Linked DNA regions of Elephas maximus indicus. The protein of the gene in region 1 purifies or fractionates together with the protein of each later gene. This does not show direct contact. Links are inferred from orthologs where the notes say so. Each region holds a gene or a part of one and is shown in the gene's direction. Other genes may lie near its edges.

Region 1 (10,121 bases):
TATGTCGAAAACAAGCACTGGCTTTGAGTATGGGCTCAATCACTAACCCATTATATGGTCTTGCACATACTGCTTAGATTTTCTGAACTGCAGTCCCCATACCCCCCAAGACTGGTGATAGGTCTTTTAGAATTATTTAAGGATTTAATTTGTAAATGTCAATTGCCCAACACATAGTGAACACTCAGCAAGCAGTATTACAATGTACATTATCTATAAACCAAAACCAAACCAAACTTGTCACCGTCCGGTCAATTCCAACTCAGAGTAGAACTGCCCCATAGGGTTTCCACGGAGTGACTGGCAGATTCGAACCGCCAACCTTTTGGTTAGCAGCGGAGCTCTTAACCACTGTGCTATCAGTGCTATTTCTTATATTAATATCATTTATTTAACATGAAATAAGGGAAAGGTGGACACAGATCAACATTTCACCTGAAAGGTGAGGTCATTTCTGGTTATGACTCTGAATCTTGAAGCCCTTCAACCAAGTCATGCAACATGTGTTTAAACTTAGGTCCATAAAGCAAATCACGACTTGATTCCGTATAAACCACCTGCCGTCCTTTACTTGTTCTGCTTCTTCTGATGCCAAATCTAAATTTCTGATTCTGTGACCCCTGCCCTGATTGCAGTTTCTGGCCCCTGCACTTGAACCTGAGACCTCATTTCTCCAGTTGTCAAGCTTTGACTGCTACCCCCACTCACTTCATTGTGGACACTTGGGATTGTTTAATAGGACTCCCTACGCCTGAATTAGGCAGTGAAATCTAAACTCGGTCACTGAGCCAGCAGCTGCTAGCGACACAGTGACTTCAACAGTGTCGATCATCTCTTAAAGAGACATATGCTCAAATCAGAAAGAGAAATTCAAAGGAAGGATGTTGGATAACTAATGAGAAAGCTTGAGCTTCCTTTTCCTTGAATGTAAACAGGTCAGAACATCTAGGAGGTCATTTGGAGGGAGACAGGGAGCTATAAGGAGGAACTCAGGCAAGATTATTTTTTCCTTGCACTTGATTGACGGAAGTGGACCAGTGAGCGACAGAGAAAACGAGTTCTGTTATGAACAATTCCTGCCCTTAAATGTCAGATATGTAGTTTCCCTGTGTGTGCTGGTAGTCTCCTTTTTTCTTCTTTTCAATCTCTAGTTCAACCTATTCAACTATGCCAAGGAACAACAGAGAGAGAAATTTTATTCAGGCCAGAGCCAGCATTGTTGGTATCACCCTAGAGCTGATACAGTGCAAGCCAGGAGGAATCACACACGCACGCACACACAAAACACCAAAGGAAAGTGATATTCAGAGATTCCCACTGCCGTCGAGTTGATTCCGACACATAGCAACCCCACAGGACAAAGAAGAACTGCCTCACTGGTTTCCCAGGGCAGTGTGGAGTGGCTGGTAGGTTTAAATCACAAACATTTCGGTTCACAGTAGAGCATTTTAACCGAGCGACTTAACTTTAAACTCAGAGGGGTAAAACAAAATAAAAAACTCGTTGTCGTTGAGTGGATTCCAACTCACAGTGACTCCAGGCGTTACAGAGTAGAACTGCTCCACAGGATTTTCTTGGCTGTAATCTTAACAGAAGCAGACTGCCAGGCCTTTCTTCTGTGGCACTACTTGGTGGAATCGAACTGTCAATCTTTAGATTAGCATCGAGCAAACATCACTCACTTTGTACCACATAGTTGCTTTCATTTAGTCATCTGTGTTTCCCACCCAGAAATCCCCATTTTAGTGCAAAACTTGAAGTTACAGATGTTTATTTTACTAAGGAAACTGGCCTTTACCAAGAAACTTCTTCCTCTGTAAAGTTCTTCAGAGTACCCTGTTGCATTATTTCACTGCTGGGAGTCTTTCAGTCTGCACGAAGCCCACTGTGCCCCTGGATAAAGACCGATACATTACTGTAATAATTCCCAGCGCATAGAATAATTAAGAGCACCCTGAAGCTGAAGGAAGGAATCCGGATACAATGCATTAATATGCATCTTCTTTGGTCTTAAGACCAAGAGAAATTTACTCTTAAGTGAAAGTAAATTGTGCATCAAAATATACCACATCTCAGTTTTATTTTTATTTACTTTCTATCCTCAAACTTTTCCTACCATGTTCTTTGGAGACATTTAATGTCAGGGATCTGGGACTTCACACCCACACAAACTCTGCAGCTAGCAGGTGGTTTATTAAACTACAGCTTTAAAATAACCTTCAGAAAATAAAAAGGAAACTGTTGCTGACTTATTCTGCAGTGAGCTGAAGACAGATGGAAGTAAATGAGAATTTCCATAGGCGCCTTTTCAAGCACCATGGCTAATTTTACCAGCCAAACGCCTTGGGTTTGAAAACCTTGAAAGAGAGGTGTTGAAACTCAGTTGCAGTAAGGCCAGACTGGGGAGGAAATAGGGCCTTAGAAGAAATACTGACCTTGGTTTTCATAACAGGACCGTAAATTACGTAAAAAGGGCCTCATACCCCCAGAAATTAGACCTTTCTCTTCTGATTTTCTTTACTCTTTTCCGACTTCTGGAAACAATTGTGAATTGCAATTACACATGTGCACACACATATTTTCTAGTTAGTTTTGTCTCATTTGTTAAGTTAGAATTTAAAAAATCACTCTAAGGCTATCCCTTTCTGTACTATCCAAAGGGGAACATAGGCCGAAATTCATTCTGTGTAACAAACGTGTGAGAATGAACTTCTTCCTTTCTGGGTGTTTGTAAATTGTGTACCATTTTATGTTCATTATTTAGCAATCTTTACTGTGTTTTAACACTAAAGCAAATGAAACAGCTCATCAAGTGGTTGTTAATTATCAGTGTGTTTACATCAATTATACCTGAATAGAAACAATCAATTCAGGGCCTCTCCCCTGTATTTCAGGCCTCTTTTTTTTTTTTTTTTTTGACAGGCACTGTTTCTCAAACCTCAGCAGGAATTACATTCACCTGGAGAGTTGTTTACATGAGATTGGTGGGCTCCAGCTCCAGAGTTCTGCTTCACTAGCCTGTAGTGGGGCCTGAGAATGTGCCTCTCTAGTACATGCCCAGGTGCTGCTGATGCTGTTGGTCCAGGGATTTCACTTTGAGGACCACCAATAAAAGCACGCCTTATTTAAGGAGTTGGATCTTAATTTATAGACAGAGCCATTGGAATTACTTCATTTTTATGCATGTACAGCAACAGCTACCCTTTGTAAAATGCCAGATCTATGACATCCAATAAGATGTAGTATATGTGCTCCGTTATTGTTTTTCCCCTTCATTGTTTCTAAGCCTTCTATGAGCATGGTGTATATCAGTTAAGGTCTACAATTTAATAAGCAAGTAGGAGAAACTTTCAGAGTCAAAAACGGATCCTAAGACTTTTTAAAAAAAGATATTGTTGCTAAAAACAAGCAGTCAATAAACAGCTGCTCGATCTTTGCCATTCCTACAGCGTCTTGGTCTAAAGCGAAACATCACAATTTTAAAGTTCATGTTTGCCATCTGGTGACACACTTGTGAATTGCAAGTGGTCTGCGTCAACCAATCAGAAAACAAACAAACCTGTTGCTGTGGGGTGGATTGATATTATAGGACGGAGTAGAAATGCCCCGTAGGGTTTCCAAGGAGAGACTGGTGGGTTCGAACTGCCGACCTTCGAGTTAGCAGCCCAGCTCTTAACAACTGCCACCAGTGCCCCTCATGAACCAGTAGTTTTGTTACATATCTTTGTACAGATTTTTGTTCATTGTTTCTTCATTTCCAAAATCCATTAGGCACATTTCACACATTTTTCCCTAAAAGCGCTGTATTTCACAATTCATTAAATGGCTAACAGAAGACGATTTCCCTAACTGGATATATTTATTTCAAACAACTAGTTTGTATGAAAGCTGTTTTAATTCTTCATACGGACCAACAAAATCACAAATTGTATCTCAGAATGCATAGTGCATATATAGAATAAATTTTTTTAACAAAATATTTTAGGGAGATATAGCGAAATTAAATTACTTTAATCTGAATCAAATATTACATACATGATTCACTTATAATGGCAGTACACCGAGGAGGAGCTGAAATAATTATGCTAACAACACCAATCATAGCAAGGATTCATTAAGTTGCACATAGTTCTCTATGAGTTGGAACCGACTAGACCGCACCTAACAGTTAACACCGAAGCAAAAAAAAAAAAAAAAAAAAGATTTGGAGCCAAGACATACTCCAGGTTTTATGCATTCTTTAAATCTTCCTCTAAATTGAGGGCTCTAATTTTTTTTTTTTTTTATATATATATAGGGTTTATAGGGTCGCTATGAGTTGGAATCGACTCGACAGCACTGGGTTTGGTGTTTTGGTTTACCTGGTTATTCATTCAATAAGGGCATATATGTTCCTGGACCCAAGCTCAACTTCAGGGTCTTAGTTAGATTTAATTAAGCATATTATATTGAGGCACCAATCACGAACTGAAAAAAAGATATATTGTTGAGCACTTACTACAGGTCAGTCACTGGGTTTAGTACTCCACTATCATTATCTTGCTTAAGCCTCACAACTTCACTGTTTCATCTTATCTTTAAATTACAGGTAAGGACGTTGAAATTTAAAAAGAGGAAGCAAGTTTCTCAAGGCGCGAAAGCCCGGATTTGCACCTGGCTCCTATCAACCATGCCATATTGCCTGGATTGCTTTCTACAAAAGCGCCAGCACTCACTTTGGCTAAAACTTGTGCTTCTTCGACGCGTTCCCAAGCTGCTCTAGAGTGTCCTGACCATTAGGCCAGGTTTCCACAAGCAGAAGAAAGCCTGTTCTGTAGTTTGAGCAGTGAGGATGAACACAAGTCTCCTACTGGAGAGAGATTTCCGCAATTTGGGGTGATACAAGCCTTGGGGTGGATTAAATCGTAAGAGAGGTCTCAAAGGTGATAGCTGGGCTGAGCCACCTGGAAGGCCGTGGTATAGTTTGCTGAATTAGCGATTGTAGAATCCGGAGAGAAACTGAACTGAGAGACACCGAGGGCTCACTTTCAGGTGTGTTGCATTTGAGGATCTGAGCTGCTTTTCGGAAACCCTGGTGGTATAGTGGTTAAGTGCTACGGCTGCTAACCAAGAGGTCAGCAGTTTGAATCCGCTAGGCATTCCTTGGAAACCCTATTGGGCAGTTCTACTCGGTCCTATAGGGTCGCTATGAGTTGGAATCCACTCGACGGCAGTGGGTTTGGTTTTGGTTTGAGCTGCTTGCATAAAACACACTCCATAGACATTTATTGGTATATTACTGTACCGTCGAGGTTTATAAAACCCCATGACTACTAGCAATGATCAAGGTGGGACCCCCCCCACTAAACTTACACAGGACATCACACAAAACCCAGTGCATTCAAGTCAGTTCCAACTCATAGCGGCCCTATAGGACAGTCCTAACTGCCCCATAGAGTTTCCAACGAGCGCCTGGAAGATTCGAACTGCCAACCCTTTGGTTAGCAGCCGTAGCACTTTGGTTAGCAGCCATAGCGCTAAACCCCTATGCCACCAGGGTTTCCCTACGGGAAAGAAGCTAAAATAAATACTGTTAACCTTGCTGTCCAAAGCCTCGTTATTTGGCCTTCGCGCATGCTCAGCATCAACCAGTTTCGTAGCAGGCTGGCTTCGGAGCACAGAAAAGCGGTTGCCCCCTGCTGGTCAGTGCTCCGTAACGCAGCCCGAGAAGAGGAAATTGTTAGAGGCGGGGTACCTGTGGGATGACGTTTAAACAAGTCGTCGAGGGGAGAAAGCAGTTGTTCCTGCGTCAGTGGCGCGCGCCGTGGGAAACCTGACAAGCCTCATGGCTGCAGGTTGTTCGGCGGTACCGGGGCCAAAGGCTGCCTCCGAAGGGCCGGTGGTGGGACCGGCCGGCGTCCTGCCTTGTCTGGAGCTGCCAACCTACGCTGCCGCTTGCGCGCTGGTGAGTAACCACTACTCCTGCCTGGTGGCCGGGCCGCACCGGAGGCACATCGCGTTGTCACCGCGCTACCTCAACAGGAAACGCACTGGCATCCGAGAACAGCTCGACGCGGAGCTCCTGCGCTATTCGGAGAGGTACCAGTATCTTTGCTTTTTTCTTTTACTTTGGGGACAACGCCATAACGTAGCCTGAAGCCCCTTCTGGGTAGAGGAGGAGGGAACGGCGAGTGGTCCTGTCGATGGCGCAGCAGAAAAGGGGCAAATGGGGAAAGTCGCAGCTGCCCAACAGGAACTAGCTCCGGGGCATTCTGGGGTCCTGATCTACCCCCCAAAGCCAGTACCTGCCTGCGTGGTCGAGATCTTTCCAGGGCCCCTTTCGTAGTCAGGAAAGAAGACTGAAAGATGAAGTGATTGCCGTGGATTGGGGGGAGTGGAGAAGCTCACTCCTTAACAGTCTAGGGTCTGGAGACCTGGTAGATCAAGTTTCTTTGGCAATGAACGCATCATTTAGCTCCTTGCGGATAGCTTTCTCATTGGTCAAATGAAAGTTTGGAATGCAGTGCCTCAACAGAGTCTATGATTCTACAGAAAATTGCACGTGAAGCGTGAGCACAATCGTTTAATTATAAAACATAAAGGACGTTTTTGTTGTTTGTTATGTTTGCACTGATAACTACCCGTATTCTCTTCCCTTGGATCTAATCGGGCACGAGGGAAATACCATTAGTTTTGTTTCGTTTTTAAGAGCAATGGAAGCCTAACTGGTCTGCCTATTGCTCTTGAGGGGAAAAGCCCTCTGGTTCCTTTAAATTAAGGTGTTGAAAAGTCCTCTGAAAATTGAAAATCTACAGGTGGAAGAAAAATGCGCCTTAATACTCGACTAGACTACTTTGACTCAAAAACATGAGTTCTAAAGGTGAGGTTAATGGATTCTCTAGGAACTCATAGTAGCCCTTCAGGAATTCCATGACACCACCGCCGCTCCCCAGTTGCAGAAATTTCCTGTGTGAATTTCCTTGGGGAAAATATTCAAAACCTTTAACACTTTCTCCAGGGATCCTGGACCTAACACAGGTTAACAATCAATCACATCCATCAATCTTGTACAACTTCCTGCAAACACCAGCAAACATTTGCCCTGGCCCTACTGGCGACCTGGAAACCCTGGTGGCGTACTGGTTAAGAGCAACAGCTGGTAACCAGAAGGTCGGCAGTTCGAATCCACCAGGCCCTCATTTGAAACCCTATGGGGCAGTTCTACACTGTCCTATAGGGTTGCTATGAGTCGGAATCCTCTCAACAGCAACGGGATTATACTGGGGACCTGGTATGCAAAAACAAAAGCTAGATTCTTGTTTCAAGGAGTTTTAAGATTTAATAGAGGGATATAAATGTAAGCCAAATCTAGTTAAGTGTTAAAATTTGACATAAATCTCTATTATGTTATAGTAAGAAAAGGAGTGTGAGTTGGATTTTGGGAGTTTTGAGAATGACTTGACAGAGGGAGGATACTTTTAGATGGTAGTATTCCAAGTAAAGAGAGCGCCATGAACAATGAATAAAACCAAAATCCAGACCCATTGTGATGGAGTTGATTCTGACTCACAGCAACCATATAGAATAGAGTAGAACTGCTCCCTAGGGTTTCCAAGGAGGGGCTCATGGATTCGAACCGCTGACCTTTTGGTTAGCAGCCTAACGCTTAACCACTGTGCCACTAGGGCCCCAAACAATGGATTCAGATGTGAAATAGTATGCTGTGATGCAGGAACTGTAAGTACTACACAACTGGAATAAGGTTTTTATATCAGGGGAAAGCTATTGGGGTGCACTTGGAGAGGAGAGGAAGTCAAAGATGGGTGACTCAGAAAGGATCGTCATGTTTGCCTTTCTCTCTTTTTTTTTTTTTTGTTCTTGCTTTGTTTTGGGTTTTCCTTTCTTTTTTTTCTCAATGTGCTTAAACAGGACTAGCAGTTCATCCAACTCTGAGACTTGGCATACACTTGAGAGAGTCCCTGGGACATCATCAGATTTGCAGTTTTAGCAACCATACTTAATAGCATTAAATGATGGTTTAAGAAGGTTTAGGCAGTAGACACGGAGACCAATTAAGAGATTATAATCATTACAGAGAAAAATTAGAGGGGGTGGATTTGAGAGATTTGAGGATATACAAGGTGACATACATAAAATCTGGAAACAGACAACCATTTAATGTATTTTACTACTTTTCATAACCACTTAATGCCTTCACTTGACAGGGTAGGGGAAAGTTACCCTGCGTGGCTCAGGCAGAAGCTATTACACCAGAATGATTGCATAATAATTTAAGGAACCTATTAAATGATAATTTCTGGAACTGTTTTGGACCATTTAGCCATGTGGAGCAGGCTGCATCCTAAACAGACCTGCCTCACCCCTTCAGTTACTTGTGAGGTATGCTAAAGATGCAGGTTTATTCAGTGCACATCAGTTACAAGTCATGTGAGGCAATGTTAACACATGTATGTGTAGAAAGGCTTCATTAATGTGCCTAGTTCATGGTGATTGATGTCATGTGGTGAACTGTGCATTGCTACTGAGTGACAATACATTGCACATATCATGGGTTGTGGCATAATATTAATAAACCACTTATTTAGTATAGTTGTTTATGTTTTCAGACTTAATGGCCACCCGATACAATCAGGTAGAGGCTGAGGAAAGGGAGGAATTGAAAATGGCTCTCAAATTAGTTTTTAAGTCCTCTCAACAGTATTCCCTCACCTTTCTTTTCCCAGTAACGAGGTTTTTTTTCAAAGGTATCTCATTTCAACTTTGGGCTGTCTTTACTTAGACAAAGTAAGTAGTTTTCTAACATTGTGTGGCTTCTAACTTGTGCCTTTAAGGCCATTCAGAAAAAGGAGAGGGGAAATCTATCTGTGTTCCATATGACAGCTCTTGAATTAATTGACAGTGGCAAGTATGTTCCTCCTAGAAATTCAGATAAGTCTTAAATGTGTACTCTAAGCATCCCTTAAACTTGATTTTTCCCTAAATATCTCAAGTGAGGCAATCACGCTGCCTGGAAGCCTACTTAAGAAGGTTTCAGAAAAACAAAAGGAAAGAAGGAAAAGATATATAGTGTTGGAGTATCTGTCTTTGCATTTCTGGTGACCTTTAGTAACTTATATACTTTGAATTGCTTTCCCAAAAGTTTGATGGATTTATACAAATCTTTTCTACACCTAGGCTCTATTGTCACATTATCTTGTCAGCAGCTCCTCCTTTTTATAACTAATATTTTGCAGTGCCACCTTTACTATCTTACGGTGTCCTCTTTACTATGCAGAAATAAAATGTAAAGATAATATAACCCACCTACACAATTTTACGGAATCCCTGGCTGGTGCAGATGGCTAAGTGCTAGATTATTAGCTTAAAGGTTGGTGGTTTGAACCCACCCAGAGGCACCTTGAAGACAGGCCTGGCGGTCTGCTTCAGATAGTTCACAGCCTTGAAAACCCTGTGAAGCAGTTCTGCTCTCCGTACACGGGGTCACCATGAATCAGAATCTACTGGTCGGCAGCTACAACAACAATGCAATTCCAAAAAAAACTACGTGGCGCTCTAATACGATATAATAAAATGTATTTCAGCATGCTAATGCTCAGGGATGACTACACGGAAAGACTGAAGTGGTTAGATGTCGCATCAGAGACATGGGGACTGCGTCAGTTACACATGGGGGCTGATTCAGGTGTTTTGAATGCACAACTCAGATTACACATGCAGTGTCCCCACTGGCGCAATGCTTTCTTGAAATAGTGAATAATTCTCAGTAAAATTCCGAACAGAACAAGCTTCCCTTGAATTTACATATTAGTTACATTCCTGGGAATTTTAATGTATAGTAAAAACATGCAAAGATAACTTTGTGGTTTTTTTTTTTTTTTTTAAGAGTTAGGTTCAAGTCTTAACTTCCGATTTTCTGTGTAGTAAGTTCGGCAGTTTGTTCTCTAAGGAAACCCTGGTGGCGCAGTGGTTAAATGCTACGAATGCTAACCAAAAAGTTGGCTGTTCAAATCCACCAGGCACTCCTTGGGGACCTTATTAGGCAGTTCTGTTCTGTCCTACAGAGTCGCTATGAGTTGGAATCAACTCAATGGCAGTGGGTTTGGTTTGGTTTTGGTTTTGTT
Region 2 (10,317 bases), on another chromosome or scaffold:
AAGGAAAGGGAAGCAGGCAGAGAGCTGGGGACCTCACCACCAAGAAAGCAGTGTCCGGAGCAGAGCACGTCCTTTGGACCTGAGGTTCCTGTGGTGAGATGCTCCTGGGCCAGGGAAGACTGATGACAAGGACCTTCCTCCAGAGCCATCAGAGAGGGAAAGGCTTCCCCTGGAGCCCGTGCCCTGAATTCAAACTTTTAGCCTATTGAACTGTGAGAGAATAAACTTCTCTTTGTTAAAGCCATCCACTGTGGTATTTCTGCCATAGCCGCACTAGATAACTAAGACACCACTACATAATAAAAAGTACTTGGATTCTAGAGGCAATCAGAAAGAGGGGCAAAGAAGGAAAGAAAGTGGTGGGGGAAAGAGCCAGATTTCAGAGCCTGGAGTTCCTGTCATCAGTGGTACAAACGTATTTTAAGGGTAGAGATGCCTAATACTCAATGATCAACACAGGCATTGTTACAGTATAAATCCCTCTTCTTCTCCCAAATCTCCAATAAAGCTTACCCCACCCACAAAGGCTTTATGTAAGAAAATATATTTCTTCCTATTTTTTCAAAGCTCCTGTTGGACACCTCTATCCAACAACTACATCGTGGACATCTCAGCTATCCATTAGTACCTCATCGGGTTGGTCCAAAACCGAATAATTATCTTCTCTTCCCCAACTCTACCATCAATTGTTTTTAGCTGCTCCTTCTCATATGCTACAATGTTCCACTAGCTTATTAATGTCATCATCACTAAAGGAACAACTAATATTTATCTGGCACTTAGAGTATACTAGGTTCTCTGCCAAGGGCATTTCATGCGTAATTTCATTTGATCTTCAAACCCTACTAGTCAGGCACTAGGCTCATTTCCTAACTATTAGGAAACCAAAGCTCTGGATAGCAACTCTGGTGATGATTGCGGAAGTGAAATTCGAACACTGTTTTGAATCTATAGCCAGCTCAACCAGTACACTCCAGTGCGTCGAGACAAAAAAAAAAAAAAAAAAAAACCAAGGAATCACCCTTCTCTCATTAATCATATCTAGTTGGGTTTGAGTCTCTTACCAAGTATAGTCAAGCATACCTTCTCAATGCCACTCCCACTGTCTTCATACAGAATAATAACTAGCATTTACTAAGTGCTTACTATGGGGCTCAGTGGTTAAGAGTTAAGCTGCTAAACAAAAAGTCGGCAGTTCAAAGCCACCAGCTGCTCCTTGGATACTCTATGGGGCAGTTCTAGTCTGTCCTATAGGGTCGCTGTGAGTCGAAATCGACTCGATGACAACAGGTTTACTATGTGCTAAGCCCTATGCTAGGGGCTAGGGAATGCACATGTTTGATCAAGTTTTATCCCCCAAGTCCTATGAGATGAAGAAACTAATGAACAAAGAGGTTACATAGTTAGTGACAGAGCCAAATTTAAATCCGGGCCATTTGGGTCCAGAATGAGGAGCTCTGAGGCTGGAACTTCCTGTAACAGCCTCCTACTGTGCTTTCTATGTCCCATCCAGATCCTCACCATCCTCTAGGCTATGGCAGAGATACAGGAATGCCCCACTTTTCTAAAGTTCCCTTTATGCCAGTTTGCTTTTATGAAAGACCTACGTTAGTACCTGTTTTCGCTAACCGAAAGAAATCAGAAGAGGATTTTCGCTTTCATGAAAAAAAAAAAAAAAGGCAAAAAGCAGAAATAGCTTTCGGTGTTTGTTTTGCAGCAAACCCTTACAGAGGTAGCGTGTATTCTGAGCAGTGAGAGTGGCGTCACCAACTCCTTCCCTGGGAACTACACTCAGCATCAAGTAGCCATAACCAGGTTACAGGGGCTTCTACCATCACCACCACCACCTCTCAGCCTTCCGGTATGTTCACTGTCTTCCCGATTCTGCTAAGTGAAACTACACCATACATTATTTCTACTTTATACAGGCAGTGTACTTGTCATATCATTCCTGCTTTTACTACATGTTAGTGTTATTTTAGGCTTTATATGTTATTTGGTATGATTTGGTAGGTTATTTTTTGGGTCTGGGAATGTGCAAAAAATTTTCCATAGAAGTTAAAGGTAATTGCTTCTTTGCTTTATGCCATTTTAGCTTACAAAAGGTTTCACAGGAACACTCTTCTTTGGAATAGCAGGGAAAACCTGTATCTTTCTGGGTATGGAAATGTTATCATGACACTGTCCAAATTAACATTAGCAGCTCTGTATCACTGACTGAATAAAGTCCAAATTTTTTAATTTGGTTTACAAAATGCTTCATGTTTCTGTTAAAATCAGTTTACGAAGTATTTGACCGCCCACTGTGAGCAATGCAAAGTGCTAACTGCTCCAAAAAGAGTAACGTACCAGCCAGGGGCTACTACCTGAAACCCAGACACTGTCCTTCAGCCAGACTGACCATATGCAGGCTTCATATAGCAACACCCCAAAGATACAAGTATTTGCAAGTGGCATATATGTTAGTTCCTCTGCCTAGAATATAGTTGGCAAAATCCTAACCCAACCAGACAGAATTTGCTCCCTCTTCTGAGTTTCTGCACCACTATGTTCAAATTACCTTCAGATAACTAATAGAACACTGGTCTGTATCAGCTTCCAAATGAGACTGTGAGCAACTCCAGGGCAAGGCTGCCCCTGGCCATCAACACGTGGCATGCAGTAGTATGCCATCCTTTGATAACTGAAGAAAGAATGAAAAATTTCTAACTTGATGAGAAAAGGAGAGGAATGAGATACAAAATTAGGAATGTGAGCACATCAGTGGGCTGAATTACAAATGGGTTATTCTACTTTGGTTCAGATTTGGCCTACATTTGACCCCTCTGGGAAAATGCACATTTGTGACTTGGACCAACTAAAAAGGCAAAACGTTGTTACTCATGGCTCAACAAAGCTCTGACAAACCAAAGAAGATACCAGATTCCCCTCTTCCTTCTTTACTTGCCAAAGTACATTTTCCAAAGTGGGGGAGGAATGAGGGTTGGAATCAAATCTACCAAAATAAATAAAATTGATCTACTGAGATCCAGCTCCATCAGCACTTAGTCACAGCACATGCAAGAGACAAATGAAAATCTATCCTGGGACGAAGGCCAATTTACATTAAGTACTATTGATGCAAGAATACGGAATTCTTAAAGTGAAGGCAGTGCCAATAATACATAGTTCCCAACTGTTTTCCCCTGCAGAACTGCCACTGCACTTGATCTCACCTCGTCTCTGATCTCTGTGATTTCAAAAGAATAACCTACACAGTGAAGCCCCATACAGGAACTGACTTTAGCTTCTGGAAGATGTGAACATCAGGATGTACAACCTTTAATACAAACTGAAACACCATAAGAAACCCTACATAGAGGTCAAAAGTCCTTGGCTTAAAACGTGGAAAAAAGCTTCGAAAAATGAGTGGTGTATTTCCTAAACCGTGCTTTGCACGCAGCTGCTTCCAAATCAAGATCTGTACTTTGAAATTCCCACCTCGAAGATGGCAAATCGTTCTCCCACCCCCTGCAGCCTAAACCGAAAGGTAAGAAGAGAACAGGCAACAGGCTGGGACAGGGGTATGCGCTCTCCCTGTCTCTCCCTTTCCAGGGGAACCAGATCGGATGCGAAGGCAGCTCGTACCACTCTCATCCTCCCCTATAGCACAGGTACGGGAAATAAAAAGCTCACCCCCACCTCTCCCCTCCCTAAAAAAAGCAAACGACGCCGAGATCAGTAACGCAGCGGCCGAAACCACCCAAGGGGACCAGCCCGGGGCCGCCCGCCGCTCCAGCCGGCACCGCCGCAGGGCATTCGGACTTCCGTCCCGGACAAGCGCGGCCGGCCCCCACGCCGGGTCCGCTCGAGGGGCCGGCAAGTGCGGCCCAGGTCCCCTCCGCTACCGGGCGAGCGAGGGAGCAGACCCGCGGAGGGCGCGGCTCCACCAGGCAGCCAGAGCGCCGCCGGCGAGGGGCGCGCCGGGAGGGGAGGCTGGGCGCCGTTCCCGGTGCGGCGGCTCCCGCAGCTCCCTGCACGCGAGCCTCCCGCCCGCGCCAAGCGCGCTGGCACCTGAGAGAGCGGACGCGGCGGCGGGCAAAGTTACTTACTGGGAAGCACGGCTGTCCGGCGCGCTCAGCTCCCGGCGCCTCAGCCCCGCGCTGGCTCCCGCTCTCCGCAGCCCGCGGAAGGAGCGGGAAGCGAGCCCGGCGCCGCTTCGCCGGGAATCGCCGCCGTGGCCGCTGCCTCCAGCCGCCGCCGCGGATTTCCTGGCAAGAACCAAACTCTGGCCAAGACTTCACTTCTCAACCGCCCCTGCTGTCTTCCCGGGGGCGAGCGCCGGGGCCGAATCGCCCAACCTGACACGCACCGGGGCCAATCCACGGCCGCCCAGGGCGGGGAAGGGGCGGGCCAGACGGCGGCTCCACCTATCCGAGTGCGCCGGGGGCGGGTCAGGAAGGGGCCGTCACTCACGGGTTAGAGTGAGCCCGCTCGCCGCCGTCCCTCCCCCACCGCGTCAGGGTTGTCCCCGCCGCCTGCCTGATTTCCCTGCTAAAGACGCGGTCGGGAAGTGTCTCAGCACGAGTCCCCGATGCCCGAGTGCCGCAAGGAGAATGGGACAGCTGGGGGAGAGATGGAAATATAGGGAAATCTGGAGGGAGGCAAGAACAGGTGGTGCAGGAAAAAGAAATGTAGGTGTGCTGGGAGAGGACAGCTGGGGTGTGGACAGGGCCTGACGGGGGGCAAGGGAGGTGCTGGGAGCGGAAGAGTGGGAAGGGAGAACCGGTTATTGACGAACAAGAGCACCTGAGCGGACGAAGAGACGCGAAACGAAGGAAGAAAGCGGGCGGAGAGCTCCGATTCCGGGTGGTGAAAGGTTGCAGAGGCGGGGGCAGGGCACCTGGGAACAAAGGTGAGAGGGAGGTTCCGCAGGTGAGGTTGTTTAAGGAGCCAAAAGGATAAGGGAGGAAAGAAGCCCAAAGCGGGGATGGACGTATTCTAGGGGTAGAAAGGGGGAAAACCAGTTTTCTTGCAAACTCTCACTCCCCCAAGATAAAGGCAAACGCGTGTCCTTTGGCCTAATCGAGACGTTGTGCAACTGCAAGATCTCCGACGAGACAAATACTGTCTGAAACCATTTTGTTTGAAATTCTTCTCTTTCCACATTACCTCCTTCCTTTCTTAAAAAGTGTATTGATAAACTTAATGCGATCTACAGAGACCTCAGTACCCGCTGAGTGCTCCTAGGGTCGTCCCATGAAAGCCCCTTGAGGGTTGGGGTGCCGGGAGGGGCCAGCCTGGGAGCAACACTATCCTCATGGGTCTAACAGCAAGACAGAAAGAGGCCTGACTCTTAAGAAAGGTGATTAGGGGGCGGCAGGTGAGGCCCCGCCCCCTTGGCCCTCACCTGGGGGAAGGTGCCCAGGGCTGAGCTCCGGCATACACCGGCCTGTATCCGGCCTCACTGTAAGGCCTTCGCCGGACCCCACCTCTCCGCCCCTCCCGCTCTGCGGACAGGCTGCCGGGGGAGCACCAGGTGAGCAGGGCGGGCCTCGCGCCTTCGCCCCCCTCGCGCCGGGGGCGGGGCCGGGGCGGAGCCTCTAAGCTCCGCCCAGCGGCCGGGCCCTGCCGCGCCGAAGCGGCTCCTCCTCTCTCCTTCCGTCTCCCCTCCTTCCGTCGGTCTTTCCTTCCTGCTTCGCCTGCACGTTGCGCGGTATGGGGCAGAGCCTCCGGTCCGCCAGCACCGCCTGAGGAGCCCGGAACCTGCCGCCGCGATGGAGGACGACCAGGAGCTGGAGAGGTAACGGCCCAAGAGGCGGGCGAGCGGGCAGGAGGAGCGGGCTGCGCTCGGGCCGGAGAGCCGGTGGCAGGAGGCGCGCGGCCAGGCCGGGGCCTCGGCCTCCGCGCCCGGCCTGGCAGGATGGGCCTGACCCGGGGCTCCGAGAAGAGAGGAAAGGGGGATAGACGTGGACGCCTGGGTGGAGAGGGGGCCCGCCATGGGGAAGAGAGAGAGGGTGAGAGACATGGATGGCTTGAATGGACACGCTCCGTAGACTGGTAGCTATCAAGGAGGGGAGACAAGTTATGAGACCAGAGCAAAGCCCCCGAGCTGCTCCTCCCGCCTTAGAACAGCAGGAATAAATAAAACTAACGGGTGACATTCCGCACCAGGCCACTGTTCCCGAGTGGATGGTATTGGGGTGTTCGCACAGACCCAAGCAAGTCCTGTGTTTACTGCTCCCGAGCTTCTCTGTGCAGACTGTTAGTAAAGCCACTTCTCTATGTGCTGAGTTCTTTTTCTCCCTCCTGCTTGACTATTCTCAGACCTTCCATTCCTCTAGTTTCCTTACCTCTTGCAAATGGAAGCCATAGCTGGGCCTGCATGTCGATAATCTGTGGACTTAAATCTGACATTTACACTTAAGCAGTATTTTTTTTCCTATCACTTTCGGTGCCCTCTTCATCCTCCAGCAGGGCCCACCCTATTCTAATCTTATCTCTTTCTTGTGACTCTACCAAAATAATATTTTAGCAAACATTTATGCTTGTGCCTTAAGAAGGCTCTCCTTGTGTCCCTATGGAGGGTCAAATGGAGTAGGGAGAAACTGGAGGCAGTAATTTAAATATTGGTTAAATGAATTTGCCGAGGCAGGAAAATAAGAGACAAATAAATAGTTCTGTGTGGTTGGAGTGGATTAGAGTAAAAATGTGTTGTAATTGTGATTGGTAAATGAAAAAAAGCTAGTCATGAAAACTATTCAGTATGATCTCATTTTTATAAAAAATGTGTGTGTAGAAAAACACAAGGATCGAAGACCTCAGTGGCTGAAGGCGAGAGGAAGACTGCCCTGGAAATGGTCCAGGCAGCTGGAACAGATAGACACTGTGTGACATTTGTATTGCACGAAGAGGACCATACCCTAGGAAATTCTCTTCGTTACATGATCATGAAGAACCCAGAAGTGGAATTTTGTGGTTACACTACGACCCATCCTTCAGAGAGCAAAATCAATTTACGCATTCAGACACGAGGTGGTCTTCCAGCCGTTGAGCTGTTTCAGAGAGGCCTGAATGAGCTCATGAGTGTCTGCCAACATGTGCTTGACAAGTTTGAGGCAAGCATAAAGGACTATAAGGACCAAAAAGGCAATCAGAAATGAGTCTACATTCTAGCCCCTTATGCACCATATGACAAGGATACTCTAGGATATTTTCTTCACGATCATGCACAACCCAGAAGTAGAATTGTGTGATTAAAGCATGATCTAGCCTTCAGAAAGGTGTGCTTCTAGCTATTGACCCATTGCAGCTGTTGGATTCCCTGCAAGTATTTTTGTATTCTTTTGAATAAATTCCCTCTTATTTAAACTGGTTTGAGTGGTTTCTGTTATTTGTAGCCAAATGATACCCAAGGATGAATTTTCTTTTTCTTTTAGCTGAGCCAGTACTGATAGTGAGGAAACTATAAGGAAACCAGGCCTTAGACAAGGACTTTGATCATAGGACTTAAAAGGAGTACACATTCATGGCTGTGATTTGGAGGAGGAAGGGCAGTAGAACATAGCCCCAGATAGACTGGTTGATTGAAAAAAAGGAAAGGAAAGGAAAATTTGGTTTCTTGATAGATATATATATATAGATATGTATGTGTGTATATATATATATTTAGAGAATTGCAGCCTTTGCAGTATTGGGCAAGGTTGGGGGATAATTTGAAAGAATTTTATGAGTTTTGCTTTCCCATGAGAGTTTTAGGTGGTGTCAGGCTCCATCTTTGTGGGAGCTCTTATAGAATAGATGCCAGTTTCTTGCTTGAATTTCAGGATACTGATAAAATATTTAGTCAGAAATGCCCTAAGTATAAAAGTGATAGGAGAATTTGGAAATGAATAATGGTGGTGGTTGAACAACAGGATAAACATAAATAATGTCACTGAATTGTACACTGAAGAATGTTGAAAAGGCAAATGTGTTGTTACATATATATTTACCATAAAAAAAAGAAAATGACCTAAGTTGGCCAAAAGGTTTTTATTATATCAAACTAAACTCATTACTGTTTAGTCACCTCCAACTCATAGTGACCCTATAGGACAGAGTAGAAGTACCCCAGAGTTTCCGAGGAGCATCTGGTGGATTCAAACTGCCAACCTTTTGATTAGCAGCTGAACTCAATCACTATGCCACCAGGGTTTCCAAGGAAGAGAAAACTGAAATGTCTAGGTAACCTTTTCAGTTCTTAGATAGGTCTCTAAGAATAACTCAGGTTTACGTAGAAAAAGCATCGTTCAAGAGAAAGTAAGAAGGAAAATTCTGTCTAGGGAAAATAACTTTTCCAGAAAACTTGAAATATTAGTGAATCCCATCCAAAATCTGTCCTGTCTACCTCTTCAGTTTGTCTCTTGTGCCTGTCCCACCCCCGCCCAGCTCGACTCTTCATTGACCCTAAATACATGTCAACCCTTGGACCCAAGCACTCTAGCCTCCATCCCCCCCTCCCCCGCCGCAGTGCTCTTTGGGGCCTTTATGTTGTTCCGCTTCCTGGAACACTTAGTCCCTCCGTACTCTAGGTCAAAACTTACACATCAGACTCCCCATCCTAGTTTGGGTGCTTAAGTGCTTTCATTACACCCTATGTTTCCTTGTCTTAATGTTTATTGTGCTACTGTTAGTGCTTTTATTTGTCTGTCTTCCTGGTATACTAACTCGTGATCACATTGCCTGGCGTAATGCCTAACCGAGAAAAAAACGATAGTGGACATTTAATAAATACTGGATGAACCTATGTATGTAATTATGGCACGTAGCCTTTCATTCACTCAAATCTACTAACTTGAGTGAACTTGTGGGAGCCAATACTTTGAAAGATGAGAGTGATGTTAATGAAATCAAGAGGACAGAAAAATGTCAATTGGAGTTAATGTTCTGGAGGTTTTTGGGCAATGGGCAACATTAGTGCCTAAGAAGGGTAAACAAACATTAGCATTCATTGAACAAAAGAATGGCTTAGTTTGGGTTTCCCAATAAAGAAAACACACAAAGGACACTGGAGAGGTAAGTTTAGATGGGAGCAGGAATGAGAAAGATTAAAGACATGGAGCAAGGATAGGGAATATTCTTTGGGTGACAGTCATGGATTCTGGAAAACCAATGTCAGTTTATGGGAATTAGCACTCAAAGATGCCCTAAAGGGATAGGTGGAAGAGGTTCAAAACCTTCTCTGCCTCTTACAAAATTTTGCCTATGAGTAGCCCTATGGGAATAGTAAACAGAGTTTAGTACCTCTGAACCAAGGCCTGTTGGAAGATGTAAACAAAACAAAAACCTGTTGCCGTCAAGTCAATTCTGACTCATAACAACCCCATAGGGAAGAGTAGAATTGCCCCATAGGGTTTCCAAGGAGCAGCTGGTAGATTCGAACTGCCAGCCTTTGATTAGCAGCCTGACTGGTTAACCACTGCACCATGGTTCAATAAGTCAACCTAGAGGCGTAGAATGATACAGGCTGAGTCATTCTTACCAGTACCCGTGGGAAAGACACCCACTGGTGACCACTGATGCATCACGTGACTTCATTGCTTCAACTGGGATTTAGTGTCACTGATAATGTGGAGTGCTGTCTTGAATCTGTAGGTGGCCAGTGGAAGAAAATGAGCACCTTCAGAAGGCAGAAGGGGGAAAACTGAGGGCAGGCAAGATAACCAAAAGGCACATCTGGAAGGAGGAAGGAATCTTACTTCCATAAAATCTGTAGAAACCTGAGGGAAGACTGAATTGGTCAAAAAAAGGGTGAGGGAGATGGACATGAATTGTATGTAAGACAACATATGATATATAACATATATGTTGTCATAAATATATGTGCAGAGAGCTGCTCCATAGGGTTTTCAAGGCTTTGACCTTGCGGAAGCAGAAACATTGCCGGGCGCCTCTGGGTGGGTTTGAATTGAACTTTTCAGCTAGTAGTTGAGATACCTGTGTGTGTCTGTATGTGTGCACACACGTGCATACAAAATAACTCGAGCAGTATCTCTCTGATTTGCTCCGTAATGACATTTCACTCGAAATGAACTAATATTAATGATCAAGATCAGAAATTGTTTTTGGCTTTAAAGTAATGAGTCAATTATTAAATAATATGATTATATACCAAAGGCTTTTAAAAGATAATAATTCTTAATACTTGACTAGCACTTCCCATTTTCAAAGCACTTTACAAACTATTTATAAATTGCACATAGCTGTAACATCTAAGTACTCTGATAATTGGTATAACTAAGGTTCACACAGAATCTGGAGATGAAGGGCCGTCTCTACATTCTAACCCAGAGTGTC

The links. Proteins that work in one complex are often made in the same cells at the same time.
Region 2: the proteins of POLR1F (region 1) and protein POLR1D-like purify together in Homo sapiens (affinity purification with mass spectrometry; 3 studies listed by BioGRID and IntAct, counting the BioPlex papers as one, with this or other methods). This does not show direct contact. The link is inferred for Elephas maximus indicus from reciprocal best matches to the Homo sapiens genes POLR1F and POLR1D.

What each region holds. Positions count from the first base shown.
Region 1 is NC_064826.1:80,612,595-80,622,715, reverse strand, and holds the start of POLR1F (DNA-directed RNA polymerase I subunit RPA43), read left to right. Parts: upstream 1-5,751; 5' UTR 5,752-5,824; coding exon 5,825-6,078; intron 6,079-10,121. UniProt on the Homo sapiens protein: Component of RNA polymerase I (Pol I), a DNA-dependent RNA polymerase which synthesizes ribosomal RNA precursors using the four ribonucleoside triphosphates as substrates.
Region 2 is NC_064841.1:59,712,189-59,722,505, forward strand, and holds the start of protein POLR1D-like, read left to right. Parts: upstream 1-5,697; 5' UTR 5,698-5,756; coding exon 5,757-5,782; intron 5,783-6,778; coding exon of another isoform or gene 6,779-7,142; exon of another isoform or gene 7,143-10,317. Other genes in the region: POLR1D (DNA-directed RNA polymerases I and III subunit RPAC2), read left to right, coding at 5,757-5,782, 6,779-7,142.